Linked DNA regions of Arabidopsis thaliana. The protein of the gene in region 2 interacts with the protein of the main gene of each other region in a pairwise test. Each region holds a gene or a part of one and is shown on either strand. Other genes may lie near its edges.

Region 1 (7,283 bases), on a different chromosome or scaffold from region 2:
TAGTAAGCTTCAATGGTGATTAAAGAACTAGTATAAGATTATTATCACTGGTTGTTTCCCTTACATGTCTCCTAATCTTATCTGTAGGGTAATCTGGATGATGCTTTCTCTTTGTATGAGCAAGTGATTGCTGTTGAAAAGGGGAAAGAACATTCCACAATACTGCCACTGCTGTATGCGCAGTATTCAAGGTTTTCATACTTGGTACGTCACATGGTCTCTACACTACTAAGACTTTATAGTACTGATTTTTGAACTCGTTTTGTTTTGTTTTCGTGATGGAGTATGTAGTGATACTTTATAGTACTGATTTTTGAACTCATTTTGTTTTTGTTTTCGTGATGGAGTATGTAGTGATTTGGCTTCTTACTTTTCTTAATATTACTTTCAGGTCTCCAGGGATGCTGAGAAAGCTAGGAGGATTATTGTCGAAGCACTTGACCATGTACAACCGTCAAAACCTCTCATGGAAGCACTGATTCATTTTGAGGCGATTCAGCCACCACCAAGAGAGATTGATTACCTTGAGCCACTTGTAGAGAAAGTTATAAAGCCAGATGCAGATGCCCAAAACATTGCAAGTTCCACTGAGAGGGAAGAGCTATCCTTAATATATATAGAGGTAATGGAAAAGAAAGAAGACAATTCTTGTTTGAACATGATGTATCTATATTATTGGTTTTAACACCCAAATGTGCATGGCCTTTGCAGTTCCTGGGTATTTTTGGAGATGTGAAGTCCATTAAAAAAGCGGAAGATCAACATGTTAAACTGTTTTATCCTCATCGGAGCACGTCGGAGCTGAAAAAGCGTAGCGCAGATGATTTTCTCGCATCAGATAGGACGAAAATGGCAAAAACTTACAACGGCACTCCACCTGCTCAGCCAGTATCCAATGCATATCCAAATGCTCAGGCTCAATGGTCTGGTGGTTATGCTGCGCAGCCTCAGACTTGGCCACCAGCACAAGCTGCTCCTGCTCAACCACAGCAATGGAACCCTGCCTACGGTCAACAGGTAAGATACCAAAGATAGAACCATATCCATTTCCTTCCTTCTATACTTTTACTCTTATAATAGTATCGAATATACCTTTGTAGGCTGCTTATGGTGCATATGGGGGATATCCTGCTGGCTATACCGCTCCACAAGCACCAACACCTGTGCCACAGGCCGCAGCTTATGGAGCGTATCCTGCTCAGGTAACCAAAATTCTTAATTAGTGTTAAACTCAGGAGTATTTAGGAGGATTACAGGGATTAGCCACCAGTTTGAATTGGGAATCACTCTTGGAGATAAGTCTTTGATCATCTAACTTGGATCTTATCTTTGTGAAATTTTTTGCAGACATACCCAACGCAGAGTTATGCACCTCCAGTTGCAGCAGCAGCACCAGCGGCTGCACCGGTGCAGCAACCGGCTGCTGCTGTTGCTCCTCAAGCGTACTACAACACGTACTACTGAGCCTATTACTGCTGCTGGTCGTTTTTGTAGTGTAATTGATAACCATTTGCTTCTATCTACTCAAATTTAGTGTCTGGATGTTTACATGTCTCTCTTTTCTCGATCAGTGACAATAGATATTTACTTTTCTTCAGTTTGTTTGATTCGTAAAAGTTCTTGGATTTACGCCGGTTATGATACAGATTGTAACCAGAGAAGTTGAATTGATGGAGCCGGGTAGTACTGTTTCAATGATCTAACTCAGTTAAACTCCTCAGAAGAAAAAAAGGAAAAGTAACGACGCTTAGAGAACTTAATTTTCCAAAAAGAAAAGAATAGACCTCGAATTCTTACTTAATGGGAAAAATATACAATTTTAAAACTTATGGGGTAAATATGCGAGGATTTTTAGATATATTTTGAAACAAAACATATTTTGTGCGACTGTCCAAGTTTTTCGTGTTCATCATCATTTTCTTGTGGCGTTTCTTCAAAAACCAAAGTTACTTTTTCCCCAAGGTATTCGCTGATGTGTGGAATTGGATAAAACAGTTTCATGACTTTTTGGTTTTCTCAATAAGAGGAAAATCTTTAATTTATTGCCCGAAGGAAATGGTAAACAAGTGATGAGATGCTACAAAGCTGACATATTTCCACCTTCCTGATTAATTAGGGTTTCGCGCGATCAGATAAGAATGTTGGGTTACAAATGTCTCCACTGGAACAATCTTATAGATTTACCGCCATTAAAGGACCCTGAAACCTTCTCTCTTCCTTCTTCCATTCCCCATTGGCCTCCAGGTAACTCCAATTCCATTCAATTCCCGACTTCTCTTGTCAACGATTTCGAATTCAAAAATTCTATTTCAATTTTAGGTTTCTTAAGCCTTGACAAAAGAGAGATTTTTATTTCTCGATTTTCCTCAATTTCGTGAAATTCAATTGGGTTTTTCAATCAGATCTCTATATCCACTAATCTAATTCGAACAATGGTCAATCAAATCTTTTGCGTTTTCAAAGAGGATTCTTTAAAGATTGCGTTTTGAAGAAATTTTTCAGCTGGGTCTCTTAGATTTTGTCTCTCCATCCTTTGAAAACTGATCAGGTCAAGGCTTTGGCTCTGGAACAATCAATCTCGGCAAATTACAAGTCATCAAAATCACGGATTTTGAATTTATATGGAGATACAGATCCACAGAGAAGAAGAAGAACATTTCATTTTACAAACCAAAGGGATTGTTACCTAAAGACTTCCATTGCTTAGGTCACTACTGTCAGTCTGATTCTCATCCTTTGAGAGGTTATGTACTTGCGGCAAGAGATTTAGTGGATTCATTAGAACAGGTAGAGAAACCTGCATTAGTGGAACCTGTTGATTTTACTCTTGTCTGGAGCTCAAATGATTCAGCAGAAAATGAATGTAGTAGTAAGAGCGAATGCGGTTACTTCTGGTTACCGCAGCCTCCTGAAGGGTATAGATCGATCGGTTTTGTGGTTACAAAGACTTCCGTGAAACCTGAGTTGAATGAAGTTAGATGTGTTAGAGCTGATCTTACTGATATATGTGAACCCCACAATGTCATTGTCACTGCTGTTTCAGAATCTTTAGGTGTTCCTTTGTTTATATGGAGAACTCGGCCTTCAGACCGAGGAATGTGGGGCAAAGGTGTCTCTGCAGGTACTTTCTTCTGCAGAACTCGGCTTGTTGCTGCTAGAGAAGATCTTGGTATCGGTATTGCTTGTCTAAAGAATCTAGATTTGAGTTTACATGCGATGCCAAATGTTGATCAGATTCAAGCTTTGATTCAACACTATGGTCCTACACTAGTCTTCCATCCTGGTGAAACTTACTTACCTTCTTCTGTTTCGTGGTTCTTCAAAAATGGTGCAGTTCTCTGCGAAAAGGGAAATCCAATCGAGGAACCTATCGATGAAAATGGTTCGAATTTGCCTCAAGGAGGAAGCAATGACAAGCAGTTTTGGATTGATTTGCCGTGTGATGATCAACAAAGAGATTTCGTCAAGCGAGGAAACCTTGAAAGCTCGAAACTTTACATTCATATTAAGCCTGCTCTTGGAGGAACGTTCACGGATCTTGTCTTCTGGATCTTCTGTCCATTTAACGGACCAGCAACCTTAAAACTAGGACTCGTCGATATCTCATTGATCAGTATTGGCCAACACGTCTGCGATTGGGAACATTTCACTCTCCGAATCAGCAATTTCTCTGGTGAGCTTTACTCAATCTACTTGTCTCAACACAGTGGCGGCGAGTGGATCGAAGCATACGACCTTGAAATCATTCCCGGAAGCAACAAAGCCGTTGTTTACTCTTCAAAACATGGTCACGCAAGCTTTCCTAGGGCTGGGACTTACTTACAGGGATCGACAATGCTTGGGATTGGGATAAGAAATGACACTGCGCGTAGTGAACTCTTGGTAGATTCGAGCTCACGGTACGAGATCATTGCAGCGGAGTATCTCAGCGGAAACAGTGTGTTGGCAGAACCGCCGTGGTTGCAGTACATGAGAGAATGGGGACCAAAGGTTGTGTACGATTCAAGAGAGGAGATAGAGAGATTGGTGAATCGATTTCCGAGGACGGTTAGGGTTTCGCTTGCCACAGTGCTTAGAAAACTTCCGGTGGAATTATCCGGCGAGGAAGGTCCTACAGGACCAAAGGAGAAGAACAATTGGTATGGCGATGAAAGATGTTGAAATTCTCACTGTTGGGAAACAGATGTGGTGAGATTACCATCGGAGCCCTAACTGTGTAACTTGTAAAGGAAGATGAAGCTTTGATTGCGCAAGAGATTAATTACACAATTAGCGTAGGATTAACGTAAAACTTGTCGTTAGAAGTGTATACAAGTGGGTCCCATCATGTATTTAATTAAAATAATAAAGTTATATAGACGAACAAACCTCCACCAAACGCAACGCACACATTCGTGTACCGTTTCCGATTTTTCGTTCCTCCAATTTCATTCTCTCTCTCTTTAAGAAAAATTCCTTGTTTTTGATCCGAGAATCGAAGTCGCCCTCGAATCAAGATTAAAACCTCGTTTAGTTCTCAATTTCAGTTCTGTGGATCCGTGCGTGACCTCAAGTTTTTTTTTTTTTTCTGTCTCGAAATTCAGAATCGTAGAGGTGTTGAAAGTTGAAACCTTTTTTTTGGTTTGCTTGGTTAATGGGTTTCTTCAAACTTGATCGATAATTGGATTTGAATCAAGGGTTTTAGTGTTCTTGCTTTGTGTATTCGTTTGGCAATTTGGGATAATGAATGGTTTGCAAGAAGTTTGTTCGTCAAGTGGGTCGGTGATGATCGGACTACCAGCTGAAGAAGACGAAAACGCCGCACATTCGTCGGAGGATTCATCTTGCCCCGACGAGTCAGTGTCAGAGACAGAGCTCGACCTAGCTTTGGGTCTTAGCATTGGTCGTCGGAAGGTTCGATCGTCTTTGTCTTCCTCGTCTTCTTCTCTGACCAGGGAAAGTGGGACCAAACGCTCTGCTGATTCTTCTCCGGCTGCCGCCTCAAACGCAACCAGGTAAAAAATTCATCTTCGAGACTTTATATTATAACCTATATGAATGATTGGTCTCAGATTGCTTATTGTTACAGAATCAAAGCAACTTAGAGGATAGAGCTTTTAGACCTTAAACTTTGAGAATGAATGAATCACAGGATTGAATCAAATAGAGTGTTCCCTGAAATGTTTAGTTAAACTTTTGAATCATATTGGTTTATACTTGTTCGTCTTTTGATTTAATATCTTTTGGTAATGGAGCAGACAAGTTGCTGTAGGTTGGCCGCCTCTACGGACTTACAGAATCAACAGTTTGGTCAATCAAGCAAAGTCTTTAGCTACGGAAGGCGGCTTGAGTTCTGGCATTCAAAAGGAGACTACAAAAAGTGTAGTGGTTGCTGCTAAGAACGATGATGCTTGCTTTATCAAATCGTCCAGGACTTCTATGCTTGTGAAGGTGACAATGGACGGAGTTATAATTGGAAGGAAGGTTGATCTCAATGCTCTGGATTCTTATGCAGCCTTAGAGAAAACTTTGGATCTAATGTTTTTCCAGATTCCTTCTCCTGTAACAAGTCAGTTACTAATTCTGTTTCATGAGATTCCATGTGATTCTGTTTTTCAAATTCTGTGTCTCTTGAAATTGACTGGTTTTGATTGATCGATTTGTAGGATCCAACACACAAGGATACAAGACAATTAAGGAAACATGTACTTCGAAATTACTGGATGGCTCATCGGAATATATCATAACATATCAAGATAAAGACGGAGATTGGATGCTTGTAGGAGATGTTCCTTGGCAGTAAGTGACTACCCTTATAACTTCCCATTCATCATCTGTATTTGTAATGTGGCACATCCATTTCAATGAAAACGATCTTTTCATCTTCTCAGGATGTTCCTCGGGTCTGTGACAAGACTGAGAATCATGAAGACATCAATTGGAGCTGGAGTAGGTAAGTAGAGAGTCCTATATAGCAAAAACAGTTTACATCTCTTTGGTCTGTAACTCATATATCACATTCACATATATACATGTGCATATGTTTATACATGAGTGTACATATGTCTTGTGGTCGTTTGTGAATATCAAACAACAGCTTAACCTTGTCTTTAAAGATCTTTGTATATTTAGGGTTTTTCACTCTATTGGTGCCTGATCCAATATACCACTATAACAACAAAGGCATGCATCTGGATTAGGGTTTAGTGATGAAATCAAGCTACAGTAATATGATAGAATCACCAGTAGTTTCATTCCCTGGAAAATGAAATACAGCTCTTGTGCGTACAATAACAACAATCAATCAGCTTCACGAGGTTTTCTTAGCATAAAAACCTAATAAACCTAACACAGTCTTGAAACAGAATGAAAAACGTTTTCCTTCATTGGCTCAGTTAGTCTTCAAGGTTACAGAGATTGGACTTCTAACTCGCTGCATCAGATTATGAGAGTTGACCCAAGTCAACTGCCCTTGTGCAAAGCTAGCCACCTTCCCTCCTCTGTTTTTCTTCTTCAATACAAACCATACTCTATAGCTCAGCGTCTGATCCACGTGTTTGAACACAAGTCTCTTAGGATTGACAATAACTTTGATCCCCTCTGGAGCCTTGACATTCACTGAGTATATCGAGTTAGGACTCCCAACGTTAGTGACACGCCTTGTGATCATCTCCGTAGTCTTGCCACGTTTGAAAATCACGGCTATCGACGGGTAATTGAGACTAAAACCCGGGTTTTTCCGCAATATTCCATTGCAGCTCACGTTCTTATGAGTGATTGCTAAAATATCTGATCTTGTGAATCCAAGAGTGCAGAGGTAAGTTATGTAATCCACTGGTTGAATGTTGTAAACCAATCCCGGGTTTATCGCCTTTTGCGGATTCACATGCCCTGCTCCAATCGCAAACACACCGGCTGGTTTGTTACCATCCTTTATCGCTTTCCCTTGACGATCGTACAAATCCGCTGTTGTCATCAATGCGGATTTGATTGCAGCTGGAGACCAGTTCGGGTATGCAGACCGGATAAGAGCAGTGATTCCGCTAACATGTGGACAAGACATTGAAGTTCCTGACATTACAGTGAAGTTAACTCTTCTTGAATCATAAGGAAGTCCGGTTGGTCCTAGATTTTGAGGCCAAGCCGCAATGATATTGACTCCCGGAGCAATCATATCCGGTTTTAGTATCGAAGGATTGGCTAAACTCGGTCCTCGAGCTGAAAACTGAGCCACCTCCGGTGCTCGTGACCTCCCAATCACCGTACCACCAAAAATTATCCGCGCCTTTGGTTTCACCGTGGCA
Region 2 (8,752 bases):
CTTCAATGTAGAGCTGAGATTTGGAACCCTAATTTTAAGATGAGTACAGTTCTTCAAACCCCAGATTTCTCAGATAGTACGGTTTCCGTTGAGTGGCTTTCGACTTTTGTAGCAAAAACTTGAAAACAGAGGTTTCTCTCTGTTTCTATACTTGTTGCTTCAAATGGTAAAACCGTAAAAGACTACTTAGAACGACTTCGTTTTAAAAGAAGATTCGTGAAAGAACCAAGGCCCGCGAAAACCAATGGACCTAAATTATTTTGGTCCCATTCGAGATGGGGTTTTATAGTAGTCAGTGGAAGGCCTAGTGATTTCCTCCAAATCTATTTGCAACATATTGTTTGGTTCTCTTTCTTATTTTGATTTGTAAGTTTGTATACAAAAGTGGTGCCAACAACAAAACACAAACCCAAACCCATTTGTCATTTTACTATAATGTCTTTTGAGATTACTCCAACACAAAGGACGACCTTTGTCCGAACAATGTAAGTACTATTTGTATGAATCCGTTGGAGGACGTTGCCCTACTTACTGCAGGCAACAAAGCAACAAGATTTGTCTAGACGGCATAACTCAAGAGTTTGTTGCAAGAGAAAACAGAGAGATTTAATGAGACATGAACTCTATATAGAAAGTCTTAATTCAACATGAAAACATCTCTCACGCCCAAATCCTTAGTTATAAACCAAATCCTAAGATAGACATTTTACCATTAGTAACATAATAAAAACCACTCACAGCTAAGACACATAAGACTCACAAAAGCTTAGTGAAGAGATCATCCGCTGATAATCTTGACCTTGATGGTGTGAACCAGATTACCTCCAGTCCTCTTAAGCTCGCATATCATTTTGTCAGTCATCTTCATTTTGTTCCTTCTGATGAAACTACCAAATCCCTTGACAAAGATGCAACCATTCTTTTGAATCTTGATTGCTTTCTCCAATGCTCCCATTTCGTCCACGACTGTTATACGCTCCGGGAAGGTTAAGTCATAGTCCCTTATGACATGAGCCGGTATGTGCTGCATCAAGAAACAAACATCATAAAACAGATTGAGATATTCCTTATTAATTTATTCACATAAGAATCCATAACCAAAGATGTTAAATGGAGAGTGTGTAAAGATCTTAAATATTCAGGTTTTTTTTTCTCTTACCAATTGGCTCTTCTTCTTCGGATTGAGTGTCATAGTAAAGTACGGGTTCTCGTGATCATCCAGATACCGCCTTTCGTCATCCTCATCCTCAAGATCATCTTCATCCTCAAGACCATCATCATCCTTAGCATCATAACCATCCTCAGCCTCATCATCATCTTCATCCTCAAGACCATCACTATCCTTAGCATCATAACCATCCTCAGCCTCAACATCTACTTCATCCTCAAGACCATCATCATCCTCAGCAACATTATCATCCTCAACAGAATAATCATTATCAGAATCGTCAGAATCATCACTATTAAGAACGATAACATCATCACTAGCCTGAGATTCTTCTTCACAATCAGATCCCACTTTGATGATGTCCTTGCTTTGCTCTGAACTTCTCTTAAGCCTCTTACACGTAGTCTCATGGTCAAAGATAGAGAAATTAAAAAAATGAGAGCCATCAAACTCAAATGACAAGAGATCTCCACCGTTCAGGTTTTCGTCCCTTACAATCTTCTTCCAACCACTAACCATAACAAATCTCTCAACCTCACCACCACATTTCTTAAACCCTAATTTCCAAATGTTTCCAGAAATGCTTCTAACAGTTACAGTTTTAGGCAAAGACTTTGGTAAACAGCTGTTGAAAGAAATGGGTAGTACCTGAAAAGTTTCTACAAATTTCAAGCAACCAGAAAACAAAAAACAGAGTGAAGAGAAGTGTGTTTTATTACCAGATCATCACCGGATTCACTAGGAAGGTACGGTTTAAAGAACTTTGAAGTAAAACCATTAGAGTAATTTCCTGTTCCAAAATAAGAAAAGGAAGAACATCAATGTACAGAGCACATTACAAGGGAAGAATCAGGAACAGAGAAGTGAAAAACCTCTTGTGTTCATTGTCGTCAACTTCTTGTGCTCTTGGAAATACTCTGAACCCTAATTTTGATCGGAAATAAAAAGGTGAACAAAGTTTCTCCAGATCCAAGTTTTTCCAGATGTGATTTGATCTAAAGGTGTTGGCCTTTTGTAGCAAAAACTTGCAAAAACAGAGGGTTCTCTCTGTTTCGATGCTTTTTCCTTCAAATGGAAAACAAACCATTAATAGTACTCTTCTTATTCAAAAATAATTCGTTAAGCGGACCAAGGTATCGCTAAGGCCCAAACAAAAAACAAGAAATGGGCCTTAAGTTTGGTTCAATCTATATCGTGTAAATGACATTATCGTCCTTAAACAAAAGAACCACAGTAAAGAGTCGAGAAGGGTATATTAGAGAAAGAAGGACTTGTGACATCTCAATTCTTGAACAAGAAACTTGAAACTTGAAAGAAGAATGAGATAGTGTTAAGTGGCAGAGTTCCAAGTATCTTAGTATTATTCTCCTCCTATGCCAATGCTTTTCTTATGATCACATAGAGAGTAATAACATTCTTTTTACATGAACTCGCAGGTTTTAAACAGCCCTGATGTGTGAACCATTCATAATGATTTCTCCCAAAATCTATAGCTCTAGTATACATTATTATTGTAAGACTGTGTTGATCGTCTTTTGCACTTCATGTTTCAGACAAACAAACAAAATCAAGAAGTGTATAGAAAGCATCAACATCGATTATGTTCCGAGAAAACCAATAAGATTCATAAAACCAAGTACTCTACTCATATAAAAACTCTCAAGTAAAAATAGATAATGTCTTGGAGTTAACGCATAAAGCCTTATCAAGAGATCATCCTCTTATAACATGGACCTTGATTTCTCGAACAAGACCATCCATCTCCTTTTCTAACTCACAAATCACCTTGTCATTCAACTTCACATTATTCCTTCTGATTATACTACGGAATCCCTTGATTGTTTGACCCTTAACTTTCCTCTTCAATTTACCAAAGTTTTTCTCGAGTGGATCAATCAAATTGATGAACTCAGGGAAGTGTAAGCCATACTTCGTTATGACCTTAGTTGGTATGCGCAGCTGCATTACAAAGATAACATCATAAAACAGAAGTGGTACATTATTTTAATGAAAATGCAAAAAGACATGAGACTTTCTTCACATTTCTTACCATATTATATTTTATTTGCCGATGCTGGTTCACTGTAAAGAAAGGGTTCATGTGATTATCCAGATATTGTCTGTCATGCTCTCCAGAAGAACCTATCAAAATTTATACGCAAGAAAATAAAAAGACAGTGATGCTCTCAGTCTCAGTTAACTTCACAAGACAAAAGTTTCTATTATACCTTTCTTTTTTTTCTCTGTTTTGACTCCTCTCCATCTTTCTTTCTCAACATCAGCATGATCATCGTCACCATAATCTTGATCATCATCATCATCATCATCATCAATAACTATGATATCTTCACTAGATGTATCTTCCTCAACATAATCTTGAACATCATTAATATCATCATTATCAGCATCATCAAGAGCTGTAATATCTTCACTAGATGTATCTTCCTCATTATAATCTTGAACATCACTAATATCATCATCATCAAGAACTATGAAATTTTCACTAGATTTAACTTCTTCCCCATAATCTTGATCATCATTAAAACCATCATCATTGTCATCAAGAACCGTGATTTGCACTGAACTTCTAAGCCTTTTACACGTTGCACGACCATAGATACAGAAATTGAAACACCAAGAGCCATCAAACTCAAATTCTAAGAACTCTCCACCTTTCAAATCTTCGTCCTTGACTATCTTCTTCCACCCATTAACCATAACAAATCTCTCACTATCACCACAAAACTTCCTAAACGCCACTTTCCAGATGTTTCCATAAATGCTTCTAACAATTACATTTTTAGGCAACGACTTTGGTAAAAAGCTGTTGAAAGAGATGGGTAATTCCTGAAGAGGAAGGATCTAAAAGTTTCAATAAACTAAAAATCTACATATAACCAAAAACAGAGAGAGAAGTGTATTTTTACCAAATCATCTCCGGAATCATCAGGTAAGTACACTTTGAAGAACTTTGGAAGACAATCATCCACAGAAATTCCTGTTCCAAAGCAAGAAAAAAATCAGAACATAGGATAGGTTATGTGATTGGAGAATCAAGAACAAACAATAGCATAAAGATCTTAACATAAAAACAAGAGTCTAAAGAAGAAACCTCTGTTCATCATCTTCACCTCTTTGAAACCCTAACTCTTTTAGTGAAAGTGAAGGTGAAAATGGTTCTTGAAAATAGAAAAGTAAAAGAGCTTTGTTAATAGATCTCCGATCTTTTGGTTTGCTTTAGAGATTTTGCCTTTTGTAGCATAACACAGAGACTGTATTGTCTTCTAGGCTTATTGCTACAAATGGAAAAATAAAACATGTGCTAACTACTTTTACTTCAATGCTCCATGAACCGAACCGATATGATTTTAATCAAACCGAAAAAATATTATCCTAACCAAACCAAACCAATAAAGGGTGAACGAGAATTTAAAATTCAAATAAATGGGCTTTAAAGTCCGGCCCAATCGATTTGCTTTAAATGACAATAATAACCTGAGATTATAGAGAACGTTGGTCCGATCTTCTTTCAATTTCAAGTTTTTCAACCTCTTCCCGCTTACGAGGCCGGGATATTCTATCAACAGTCGTCTCTTCCATCGGCCGAACAATTTCCGATTTACCGACTAGGATTTTCGCCTACAACTTCCGAAGAGATTTTCTCAGTGTAAGTTTGAAAAAACCTAGCTATAGGATTCCGGATTTCCTAATCGTCAGATCTTGGGCTCGAAAGAGAAGCTAGAAATGGATAAGGATCTCTTAGATATCTCTGGAGAAGACGACGAAGATAATTGGCTTCTGAAGAATACGCCGAAGAAAACTAATTCGAGCCGAGGAAAGAGTTATTTGAAATGCTCACCTCTCCAAATCCCTAGATCTAGTCGTATCGTTCCTACTCGGCCTCCTTTTTCCCCAATTGGTAAGCGCTTCAATTTCTCGTTCTCGATCCGAGCTTCGTTCTGATAATTTCTCTCTCCCTTTGTTAGAGTGTTTAAGCATCTGAATTAGCATTGTTTAAATCTTAATTTGATAAAATAGCAAATTAGTATAAATGTTGTGTATTCTGCGGATATATGAAGGTTAATACTTTTTGCAGGAAGAGTAACAGGCACCAGCAACAACAGGGAGCAGCCATGCGCTTCAGTTGATACAGATAGTGTAGGAAAGGAGAATGCTAAAGTTGAATTGCCCAAATTGAGTGTGGAGCGACAACAGATGAAGAAGAAGAAAAAGAATGCAGGGTTTAATTTGCGCAAGAGTTTAGCATGGGATAGAGCTTTTTCAACGGAAGAAGGTGACTTTTTTTTACCAATTTCCTGTTAGTAGTAAAGGTCAAAGATTTGGTCTATGTTACTAAGAATCTTAAGATGTGTGATATGGTCATGAACCAGGTGTTTTGGATTCATCTGAGTTATCTAAAATAACTGGAACTGCTTGCCATCTTGGTGGAGATCGGTTAGCTGCCATTCAGGAAGAGTACAGAGAGTCAATGTCAGCTTCCAAATGTAATGTTTCACCAGGACTACAAGCACTTGAAGAAAACTTATTTAACGACTTGCCTGTGAATAGTAAAAACAGAGAGAAGAAGCTTGTCAGTGGCATAATGCCCAAGTACGGATCACCATCTAAATCCCAATCTTCCTCGGTGAGTTTACTGGACCTAAATATTGTGGAGCTAATGAGGGTCATAAGTCGTTTCTTTCCTTGCGTAAATATATATATTTTGAGGCGCAGTCTATCTAAATGTCGAATATCTGCATTATAGGCCCAGAAAAAAGTTATCTCAGCTCAGGATTTAAGGAGTGGTTCCAAGCGCAGTGGCTGTCCCCGGCCTCCTCCTTCATCTTCATATCCTTTTCTTACTTTGAGTACTGAGTGTATAGGCAATCTTGATATCCTTTGCAGGTCTTGTTTGTGTTCTTTTTGCTTGTTTACCTTAACCATCTTGCACCCTGAAAAGACCTGCAAATGTGCATACAACAACATCACGTTGCAGGGAGCTGAGCATATCTAAAGTTCCTACTACCAAATCTGACCCAGTTACAGTTGGAAACAACATGAAAAGGACTACTCAAAGTCCAATCAAAGCGAAAAACAGTCAACCTACTCAATTAAGTATGTTCACTTCAGTTAGCAAATAAAAACTATTCATCTCATATCCTTTTTAGTTCTGTTACTTTTCATCCTGTTTATATATTGCTACATGGTTTTTTGTCTGATATGACAGAGAATTCTCAGAGGAGCTTAGGATCTGAAAGCTTCTCTAAAAACACTTCAAGCACCAAGAGTAAAACAAAATCCAGTCTGGCGAGTAAATCTTCAATTCCTAAGCCCTCTCTTAAGCAAGCTAGAAGAAATGTGGTAAAGCTATGCTGCCCTCTGCAAACCAATATAGCAAATAGTTTATGCACTAAAAATTTGCAGCAAATGCTTTGTTTCCAATATTCTTCCTATTAAGAGTAACCTATTGCATTTTCTTGAACTCTAGATCAGCAAATCTTCAGAAATTCCGACAGTATCATACTCACAGCATTCTGTTGTTGCAAAATCCAACGTTGGCCCTATGACTGCATCAGATGTGGCTATGCTTGGTCATGCATCAGTTATTCCAGACTCTAATGTAATTACTCTGGGCACCTCGTTAGCTCAAAGTTCTTGCAATAAAGCTGGAAGCACGCAGTCCGCAGTTTCACGACTGGGAAAGCCATCAGGCTTAAGAGCGCCAAAACCTTCAATTGGCTATTTCAGTCAGGTATATTATTGAAATATACTGAATTCTATCGTGAGATAACTATGGTTTTGTTCTTGTAACTCTAACATACTTCATATTTTTGCAGTCTGACTCTCAACCGTCGCAGAGTGCGGGAGACAAACACAGTCAGCTTCCCAGATCTGATGTTTGTTCAGCCGCTCATTTTTCTTTGATCCCTACCTTCAAGAAACCCCAAGTTGCTGAAAAGTTTCCCGGTGTCAACTGCAAGGCAGCAACTGGAATTTTTGGCAGTTCAGATTCAGCTGCAAGATTCTCTGCTCAATCTATATGTCTCAAACCTTCACAGGAAAAGTTGAAAGTGGACTTGAATAGCACACAGGAAGTAGAATCCAAAGTGTTGCGTTGTCCATTGAGTTTTCAGATAAATGAAAATCCGCAGCACCAATGTGTCATTCAAGGTGATACTGGAAATTTAGTTCTGGATGATGTAACTTATTGCACATCTGAGAAGATTTCTACTGAACAATGTCAAGAATTCCAGGGTAACAGTGCGCTGCCGCCCTCAGGCTGCAAAAATAATGTACAAGATGGTAGTAATATGTCTGACGATAATAGAGATGAGAAAAGGAAGTCTTGCCTCTCAGTAGAAGAATACTGTGCTTTACCAATGAAAGATTCTATGGATTCTACGATGCAGGGTCCTCCTTGCGATGAGTTGACACTGTTTGACAACTACTCACAGTTGAAAGTCAGCAATCCGGGGGAAGAAGATATGTGTACTACCAATGATTTTAGTGGAGATTCTGATACATTGGATGTACCTGGACAACCTCTAAATGAATGCCTGCACCCTGGAAACGAAGACGAGATTAGTCCTTGCCTTTCTGAAGAAAAAGATGCGTTAGTTGTTTATCATTCTACTGAATATGTAGCAAAGCAGCCTGAGGTTTTGGATTCCTTCACTGCAAAATCATCTTTCTTTGGGGATTTGGCTTCAATAAAGGGTGATGCAGACAATCCATCTTCTTCAGAAAATCAGTTAGGTAATACTGAATTTGTTTCTGTACCTTTGGAGCCTTCTGAAGCACTAGATTGTGTTCAATCACTATGCAATCATCTTGAGGTAAATGCGGTAGCGAACTCTGTTTTGTGTGATCATAACATGGTGTGTGATGGTCAATCTGTATTAGAAACGGAGAAGAGAATTGAAATAAGCGAAAGCACAGAGAAAAACTATGAGACTGATTTCATTGGTCCATTTTCCGAATGCAAATACTGGTTTAGAGAATCTGAAGAGCAACATTTGTCGAACCAATTAGTCCTTGAGGTGAAAGAGGGTGGTCATGAGATAGATGTCTTGATCAGAAACGAAGAAGCTGATGGGCCTGATATGCAGATAGAATGCTTTACTGGTTCGTCTGATGCTGACAACATGGAACAAGTGAAATTACTAAGGCCTTCCTCCGTTGAAGTTACGATGGAGATTAAACCTCTGGAATCATCTCATGAACCCTTCTCTGAGAAATCAACTTCTGAAAAACAGAAGCAATACAATTGTTCCAGCAGTGAAAATACATCTGATGTAAATGATGGTTGTGTAATGAAACAGGCTGATCAACTTGGAACATTAGTTGGTTGTTCTCCAGAAAAAGATGCATCTGTTGCGGTTTTCTCTTATTCAAATGAGGAGCTTGGAGATAACTCTGAGCTGGAAGACATGGATTTGGTTACAGACTCAGATTGTTCAGATGAGGAGCCTGAGGATAAATTGGAGCGGACAGAGGTGGATGTGGTTACTGATCCAGAGCTCATTAGTGGCCTTGATGAGTTTTCTGTCAAGGGCGTCCGTAATCAAGAATATCCGGAAGTAG
Region 3 (6,530 bases), on a different chromosome or scaffold from region 2:
AAAGCAGGAAGTTGACCAATGTAAGTAGAGATTTCTGAAGAAATTATTCCAATACTTACAAAAACAGAACAGAACATAACTGAAGCAAGAGTACATTCATCACAAAAGCACAGTCTTACAGATATACATCCCAAAGTACAATGCTATAAACAGGCCTCTTCTCGAGTAAAAAAACCTAAAGAGTTAAAAACAATAAGTCGAAAGTGTGATTGGTTTAAGACTAATAGGTGACCTTAAATTTAAGCTCATCTCTATGACAAGCAAAAGAACTAACAACAAAATCAGAGCAGAAGAAAAACTAAAGATAGGTCAGTGTGAACTAGTTTAGAAACAACCTGAATAGATTGGGCAATCTGAGTGACAAATGCATAGGGAAGTTTCAAGTCTTTAACAGTTCTTTTGGCAAAGATAACGACTTCATTATCCGGGTCTGTATCCAAAACCAAAAACAAGAATCAGTGAATCACATACACTGCTACTGTAATAAGATGCGAGAAGATGGAAAACAAAAAAAAAGGTAGGGTTTTTAAGAGAGAAACCTGAAGGGTTCCAAGTGAAAGCATCTTTGTAACGCTGACCTTCGAATTGAATGTCCAATCGAATAGGTACCAAGTTTTCAGCAGTGGGCCTATAGCTCCGATTACAAATCGATTCATCAGAAAAAACAAAAACACATGAACTCGATTTCGATTTCAAAACAAACAAAGTAGAGGAAGCGACGAAACTTACATCCTGAACTTGACGGGACCTTTCCAACCAGTAGACACTAAACCCTTCATCCTTAAACCCCCAAATTTCACAAATTGAGTTTCGAAGAGAGTCAGCGAGAGAGTGTGGGAAATTTCAATTTCTCGATCTTTTTCCGGCGCTAGCTTAATTTATTTCAGAATCACCCTTATATTCTAATGTCTTTACACATTTCACCTCTAATTTGGAATTTTCCCATTTTGGGACGAATTATCTGGATCCGATCCTACGATCAATTGCAGCATTTGGGCTTTAAACGAGCTTGTTAGTCATTTAGTGGGCTTTAAATGGGCTCAACATTAAAATTGTACATTGGTGACAACCAACGAGACGGCTGCCGGCAGATCAAAGAGAATCATTCTCTTCCTGACAACGTTCCTCTATTCCATGTTCGTGCTCCCCATAACAACGTTCGTGTACTTTTTTCCTAGTCATGTAACACATTCGAAGAAACACACGATTACAAACATATAAAAAATCTTTGCATTATTATTATTCAGAACAAAAAAGAGAAGTCTTGGATATTGTGATTTATTTATAAGAAAAAACACACTCAAAGGTGTCATATAAATAAATATATGCATCAATCAATTCTCCAACTTCTTCAAGGCCTTTGTTGCAATATGCAGCAATAGCTCCGTCCCGCCTCAAGTCTCTTCATCAATGCCTAAATCTTACACGTCTCGTAACTGCGCAATCACAGCCTTGACCGATCCAAGTTTTAATACCTCTCCGGTCTCGTGATCTTTAGTCTTCTCACGGTTTCAAGAAACATACTAAACAAAAACATCGATTTCAAAAATTAGAGAATAGCTATAACCGAGGAAATTATACCAATGTAAGATCAAGATATAAGATTCATACTCCCATGGAATATCTCCGACCATCATCCAATCTCCATCCTTGTCTTCATATGTCAAAACATGATGTTTTCGATCTCGATTACCGCCTGTTATAGCCAAGACAATGCATGGATATACTTCAAACTGTTTGAATTTAGTTGAATGTTGTTTTTACGGAATTATGTGTTGTTCATTAATTACTTACAGATGATTGAAGTATCGAACATGTGAGAGAGATTTTCTAATAGACTCTCGTAGCCTGAGAATACGCAAAGGTCGAGTTTTCTTCCAATGGGAACACCTTCCATATAAACCTTAACAAAGAGAGAAGTGTCATCACCACGACGAAGAAGACGACGACCCTTTAGTGTATCTCTTAATCTAGACTTTATCGGTGGCCAATCTTGTCTTGCTTCTCTACAAAAAAATAAAGATTTAAAACACAAATGTGAACAAAAGAAAACAGAGCAAAAACAGAACATAGGAAAAAACAGAGAAGTGATGTGAATAAGACCTTTGTGGAGAAGTAGAAGGAAATGTGAGACTAAGGGAGAGATTAACAGAAGATTCAGAAGGAGAAGGTTTAGTACTGTCGACAGAGGATGAAGAAAATGAAGAACAAGAGTTAGAGACCTCCATTAATGAGACCTTGAAGCTGCAGAGCTAGCTTCATGCTTCCTTCTCTTCTCTATTGAGAGTGCTCTTCATGTCTCTCTCTCTCTATTTCTATTTCTCTCTGTCTAGTTAAACAAAAAAGGACTAGTAGGTGATTCTATTGCATAGATTTTGAATTTAAAAATTGATTTAATCGACTTTGAAATTTAATATAAATAAATAATAGGAACATAAGGTTCCCCACATTTAACTATGAACTTTCAACCTTCTAAATATGAACACACATTGATTTCTGAAAACCACTGTAATAATTACCCGATTAGATACTTAATTCATGGGTTTAGATCTTTGGAGTTAGTTAGTAGTAAAAATGTGAAATTATGGTTTTGAGATTTGTTTACATGTAAGATTCGAAGTTTCCGTAAAAAGGTGGTATCCAAGGAAAGTGTGTCTAAATGATGTTGGAGTTAATCTGTTAAGGCTTTGATTTTAATTTCTCAACTGCTCAGATTCTTTAATTAGGAGAGATAAGGGCCAAAAAAGGCTTTATTGTCTAGCCGTAAACAGAAACAGAGCATCACATCACTTTCACTTTCTTACACATCAATATTTGAAAGAAAAAAACTGAGTCTATAGACTATGAACTTGGGGGATCAATTTTTTAGACCCTTCTGTTGATAAGAAAACTCAATTGTCTCTTATGACACATTAATGTAACAGACCATTGAAAATTGCAGAACCAATAAAAATAAGGTAGACTTGAAGAGTTTTGTGTATATTGTTTTTGTGGAGCAGACAGTGTTCTTTTCTTTAACTATACGTTTCCTGTTAATGTCTCTTTAGCTTTGTGGATTGTCTCTCTTAGAAGCCCAAATCTTTTACTCTTTTTTGAAAATCAAAATAGAATTCGTTGATTTATGATAACTTCAAAATATAAAGTAGACATAAATTGTTACATCACATAATGCTCATTGGCTGTATTGATAATAATATTAGATTCTAGAATCATCATGGGAAGTGCACTCTAATAGTTACTTTGTAATAAAGCCTACCTTGGATGTTGGATCGATAAGACTCCTATTAGCTATTATACGATCTGTCTTTGGACATGCATGTCTGGTCTCTAGGGATCCTTCTTGTTAGAATTTCGATATATATAACTTTATAATGTCTAGTAGTCTAATGATGAATGTTTACTCCTCTTTATACTTATAATAATAATTAAGACTACTATAAGTCTATAATCAATTAAACTTTTATCAAAAAAATATGTCCAAGGAGTTATTACTCGCATACCTCGACTTAAAAGAGTTTTGTCATTAGTTTTCGTTGAAGTAAGTAAGAACCAAAGATAATAATCAAACTCCTGATTTTCTGAAGTTTCTTAAAATGGTATTCAAATTTTGGCCATAACTCTCAATATATTAAGACCGAGCATGCGAACGAGAAAAAATATGATCACCATGGTTTGCAGCTCGATTACTTCTAAGTTCTAACCATGGTAAATTTAAACGTTTTGTTGAAGTAATATAGAGAGGCATGCAATAGTATTGTGCCAAAAAGTTATAGCAAGAGAGATCAATATCATGATATGTACTCCTAAATTAACGTGGCATGTTCATGCATAGACAAAGATGCAATCATATCTCCACGTTTGCATACAGCTTCAAATAATAAAATCATATAGTCATACAAACAAAATGAATGTCCGCTGCTTATGAAAATTAATTATTTGGATAGTACTTCGTATAAAAGTTACATCAAATGATTTTAGTTGATTTTAAGACAAGGGGTCCCTTGAGTGATACACAAACTCATCATGAGTATTCTGATCCATTTCATGACGAATAAATTAAAACACAATCAGAAGGTTGATCATGGGTTGGGAAAGATGTATTGGTCGGTCGATATGCCACATGTTATATTATGTTTTATACTTATTCCTGAATAGAAAGATATGTATGAGTCGAAATATACAAAAGAAGGATGAAACTTGTTCTTCTTTATAACCTTATAAAATGTTCACATTGTTTATGAGTGATTTCCCGCGTCCATTCCATACGACTTCATGATTAACATCCCTCAATATATTGATTATGACAATGTTCGAAAAAACTGTTAGATGCCAGGCAGACGACGATTCAACCGGCCAAGTTTTGTTTCCGCGCGCGCGCATAAGTCCACTATCTAATATGCAACCATTACGGTAGAAGTTTACTTGGTCCATTTTCATTGATAACAACAAAAAATCGTAAAACTTTAAAATTATGATGAAAAACGTAAAAAAGAACATGGGAAAATATATGGCGGAATCACAAAGCATGAAAAAATGCTTCGGAATGATTGACTGAATTTACAATTGGTAGAATTTAATTTTAAGAGATAACATTTAAAAATTCAAAACATTAGTTAGCTGTCTTTATACAAAAGAGTTATTTGTGTACCAAAAAATAGAAAACGAGATATATGACCACATGATGAGTTTATGCATGCCTATTACGCCATGCAAATAGATACACACACACATAGTTGTGCCTCTGACTTTGTCTGCAAGTACGTTTGTATGGTTCTAGACAGTAATTATTGTCCTAAACCCACACGCTCTGTGAATACTCACTAAAGGTTGTTTTCCGTAGAAATCATGAACAAAGACTTTAAAAGCAAAACAGAACAATAAATCAATTAATAAGTTCAACGGGATATAGTGGAAAAGAAAACACAGATACACACCATTGGATTGAAACAGTTGCATTTGTGGTCTTACATAAACCTACGTGTTCTTTTATAAGCCAACCAATACTTTTCTCTTTTTTTTTGTTTGAAACGAGTTGCAGACTTTGAGTGGCCCCAAAGAAGAAAGAAAAGATGCAATTTCCTTTGGTTTGATATTCTCTTCAACCTCTTACCTCTCTATTCTCGTCTTTAGCAAAATCTCAAAAGACAAAAAGATATTGATGTCTCTCCAACGACCCAATGGGAACTCGAGTTCGTCTTCTTCCCACAAGAAGCACAAAACTGGTAGGTGTTGAAAGAAACTTATCTAATATTTAACTTAATTTGGTTTAGAGAAATTGGTTTGTATAATTCTCAGAGGAAAGTGATGAGGAGTTGTTGATGGTTCCTGACATGGAAGCAGCTGGATCAACATGTGTTCTAAGCAGCAGCGCCGACGATGGAGTCAACAATCCGGAGCTTGACCAGACTCAAAATGGAGTCTCTACAGCTAAACGCCGCCGTGGAAGAAACCCTGTTGATAAAGAATATAGAAGCCTCAAGAGGTAATCAATGATGAGTAAAAAAACTTTTTTTTCTTAGCATTCGATTTGTGGAATTGAAATGGTAAAAAAGAAACTGTGGTGAAAAATTACAGATTATTGAGGAACAGAGTATCAGCGCAACAAGCAAGAGAGAGGAAGAAAGTGTATGTGAGTGATTTGGAATCAAGAGCTAATGAGTTACAGAACAACAATGACCAGCTCGAAGAGAAGATTTCTACTTTGACGAACGAGAACACAATGCTTCGTAAAATGCTTATTAACACAAGGCCTAAAACTGATGACAATCACTAAATATTTACCCTTTAATCCATTGTTCAGTGTTGTATGATTATCTTTCTTTCTTTTTTGGTTTTGGTTTGTATACACTTTTTGTTCGAATAACATTCACTTTGAGCATCATTGTCATTCAGATTTGCAAAATAAAGTAAAAAAAAACGAAAAAAGGCAAGAAGAGATTAGGTATAAAAACTAGAGTTCTAAAATGCCGTGGTGGGTCCCACATGTTCTTATGCGAGTGAAACGAAGAAGTCTCTGGAGAATTTGTTTTCGTAGAGACCAAGCTGCTGCTATATAAATATTGTGAAAGAGATGAGATTTTAATTACTTGTAAGTGATTCAGAGAGATCAGAAGAAAAGAATAATTACGAAGAAATGGAGAATTTTGGTGAAGGGAGAAGAAGTGGAGGCGGAATGTTGCCGTTGCTGGCTCTAAGCGCCGTCGCGGAGTACTATAGACTACCGTGGAAACCACCGGTGACGGCGAGTCTCCTGGCCGCGAACACTCTCGTTTATCTCAGGCCGGCGTTTATCGATCCCGTTATTCCTCACATCAGTGAGGTCTGGTTCAATCCTCACCTCATCTTCAAGGTAAACCAATCTTAATAAATTCCTTCATTCGCCAAGAGAAATTGATTGCAATTTGACCGATTTCGATCTGAAATTCGAATTTGAGTTTCCTGGGAAATTTGTACCAATATCTGGAGAATTAGGGATTTTGTTCTTCGATATCTAATTAGATCATTCTTGATTGATTAATTCTATTCTCTGT

Evidence for each region. Proteins that work in one complex are often made in the same cells at the same time.
Region 1: the proteins of AT5G60142 (region 2) and IAA10 interact in binary tests that used the Arabidopsis thaliana proteins (3 or more experiments, as listed by UniProt).
Region 3: the proteins of AT5G60142 (region 2) and IAA31 interact in binary tests that used the Arabidopsis thaliana proteins (3 or more experiments, as listed by UniProt).

What each region holds. Positions count from the first base shown.
Region 1 is NC_003070.9:1,055,087-1,062,369, forward strand, and holds IAA10 (indoleacetic acid-induced protein 10), read left to right. Parts: upstream 1-4,383; 5' UTR 4,384-4,643; coding exon of another isoform or gene 4,644-4,722; coding exon 4,723-4,994; intron 4,995-5,196; coding exon of another isoform or gene 5,197-5,237; coding exon 5,238-5,548; intron 5,549-5,645; coding exon 5,646-5,778; intron 5,779-5,870; coding exon 5,871-5,940; 3' UTR 5,941-6,123; downstream 6,124-7,283. Other genes in the region: PRP39 (Tetratricopeptide repeat (TPR)-like superfamily protein), read left to right, coding at 1-2, 88-204, 392-622, 712-1,017, 1,101-1,202, 1,348-1,464; AT1G04090 (vacuolar sorting-associated protein (DUF946)), read left to right, coding at 2,139-2,244, 2,549-4,161; SDD1 (Subtilase family protein), read right to left, coding at 6,371-7,283. UniProt on the Arabidopsis thaliana protein: Aux/IAA proteins are short-lived transcriptional factors that function as repressors of early auxin response genes at low auxin concentrations.
Region 2 is NC_003076.8:24,213,299-24,222,050, forward strand, and holds AT5G60142 (AP2/B3-like transcriptional factor family protein), read right to left. Parts: upstream 4,452-8,752; 5' UTR 4,294-4,451; coding exon 4,281-4,293; intron 4,167-4,280; coding exon 4,096-4,166; intron 4,055-4,095; exon of another isoform or gene 4,016-4,054; coding exon 3,397-4,015; coding exon of another isoform or gene 3,371-3,396; exon of another isoform or gene 3,311-3,370; coding exon 3,219-3,310; intron 3,128-3,218; coding exon 2,882-3,127; 3' UTR 2,649-2,881; downstream 1-2,648. Other genes in the region: AT5G60140 (AP2/B3-like transcriptional factor family protein), read right to left, coding at 779-1,024, 1,160-1,816, 1,888-1,958, 2,041-2,053; AT5G60150 (uncharacterized protein), read left to right, coding at 4,913-5,087, 5,265-5,462, 5,560-5,813, 5,934-6,016, 6,120-6,283, 6,396-6,529, 6,657-6,920, 7,006-8,752.
Region 3 is NC_003074.8:6,018,813-6,025,342, forward strand, and holds IAA31 (indole-3-acetic acid inducible 31), read right to left. Parts: upstream 2,336-6,530; 5' UTR 2,229-2,335; coding exon 2,104-2,228; intron 2,007-2,103; coding exon 1,795-2,006; intron 1,697-1,794; coding exon 1,612-1,696; intron 1,524-1,611; coding exon 1,469-1,523; 3' UTR 1,161-1,468; downstream 1-1,160. Other genes in the region: BSH (transcription regulatory protein SNF5, putative (BSH)), read right to left, coding at 336-430, 540-634, 730-779; HYH (HY5-homolog), read left to right, coding at 5,159-5,222, 5,296-5,482, 5,575-5,773; RBL14 (RHOMBOID-like protein 14), read left to right, coding at 6,134-6,349. UniProt on the Arabidopsis thaliana protein: Aux/IAA proteins are short-lived transcriptional factors that function as repressors of early auxin response genes at low auxin concentrations.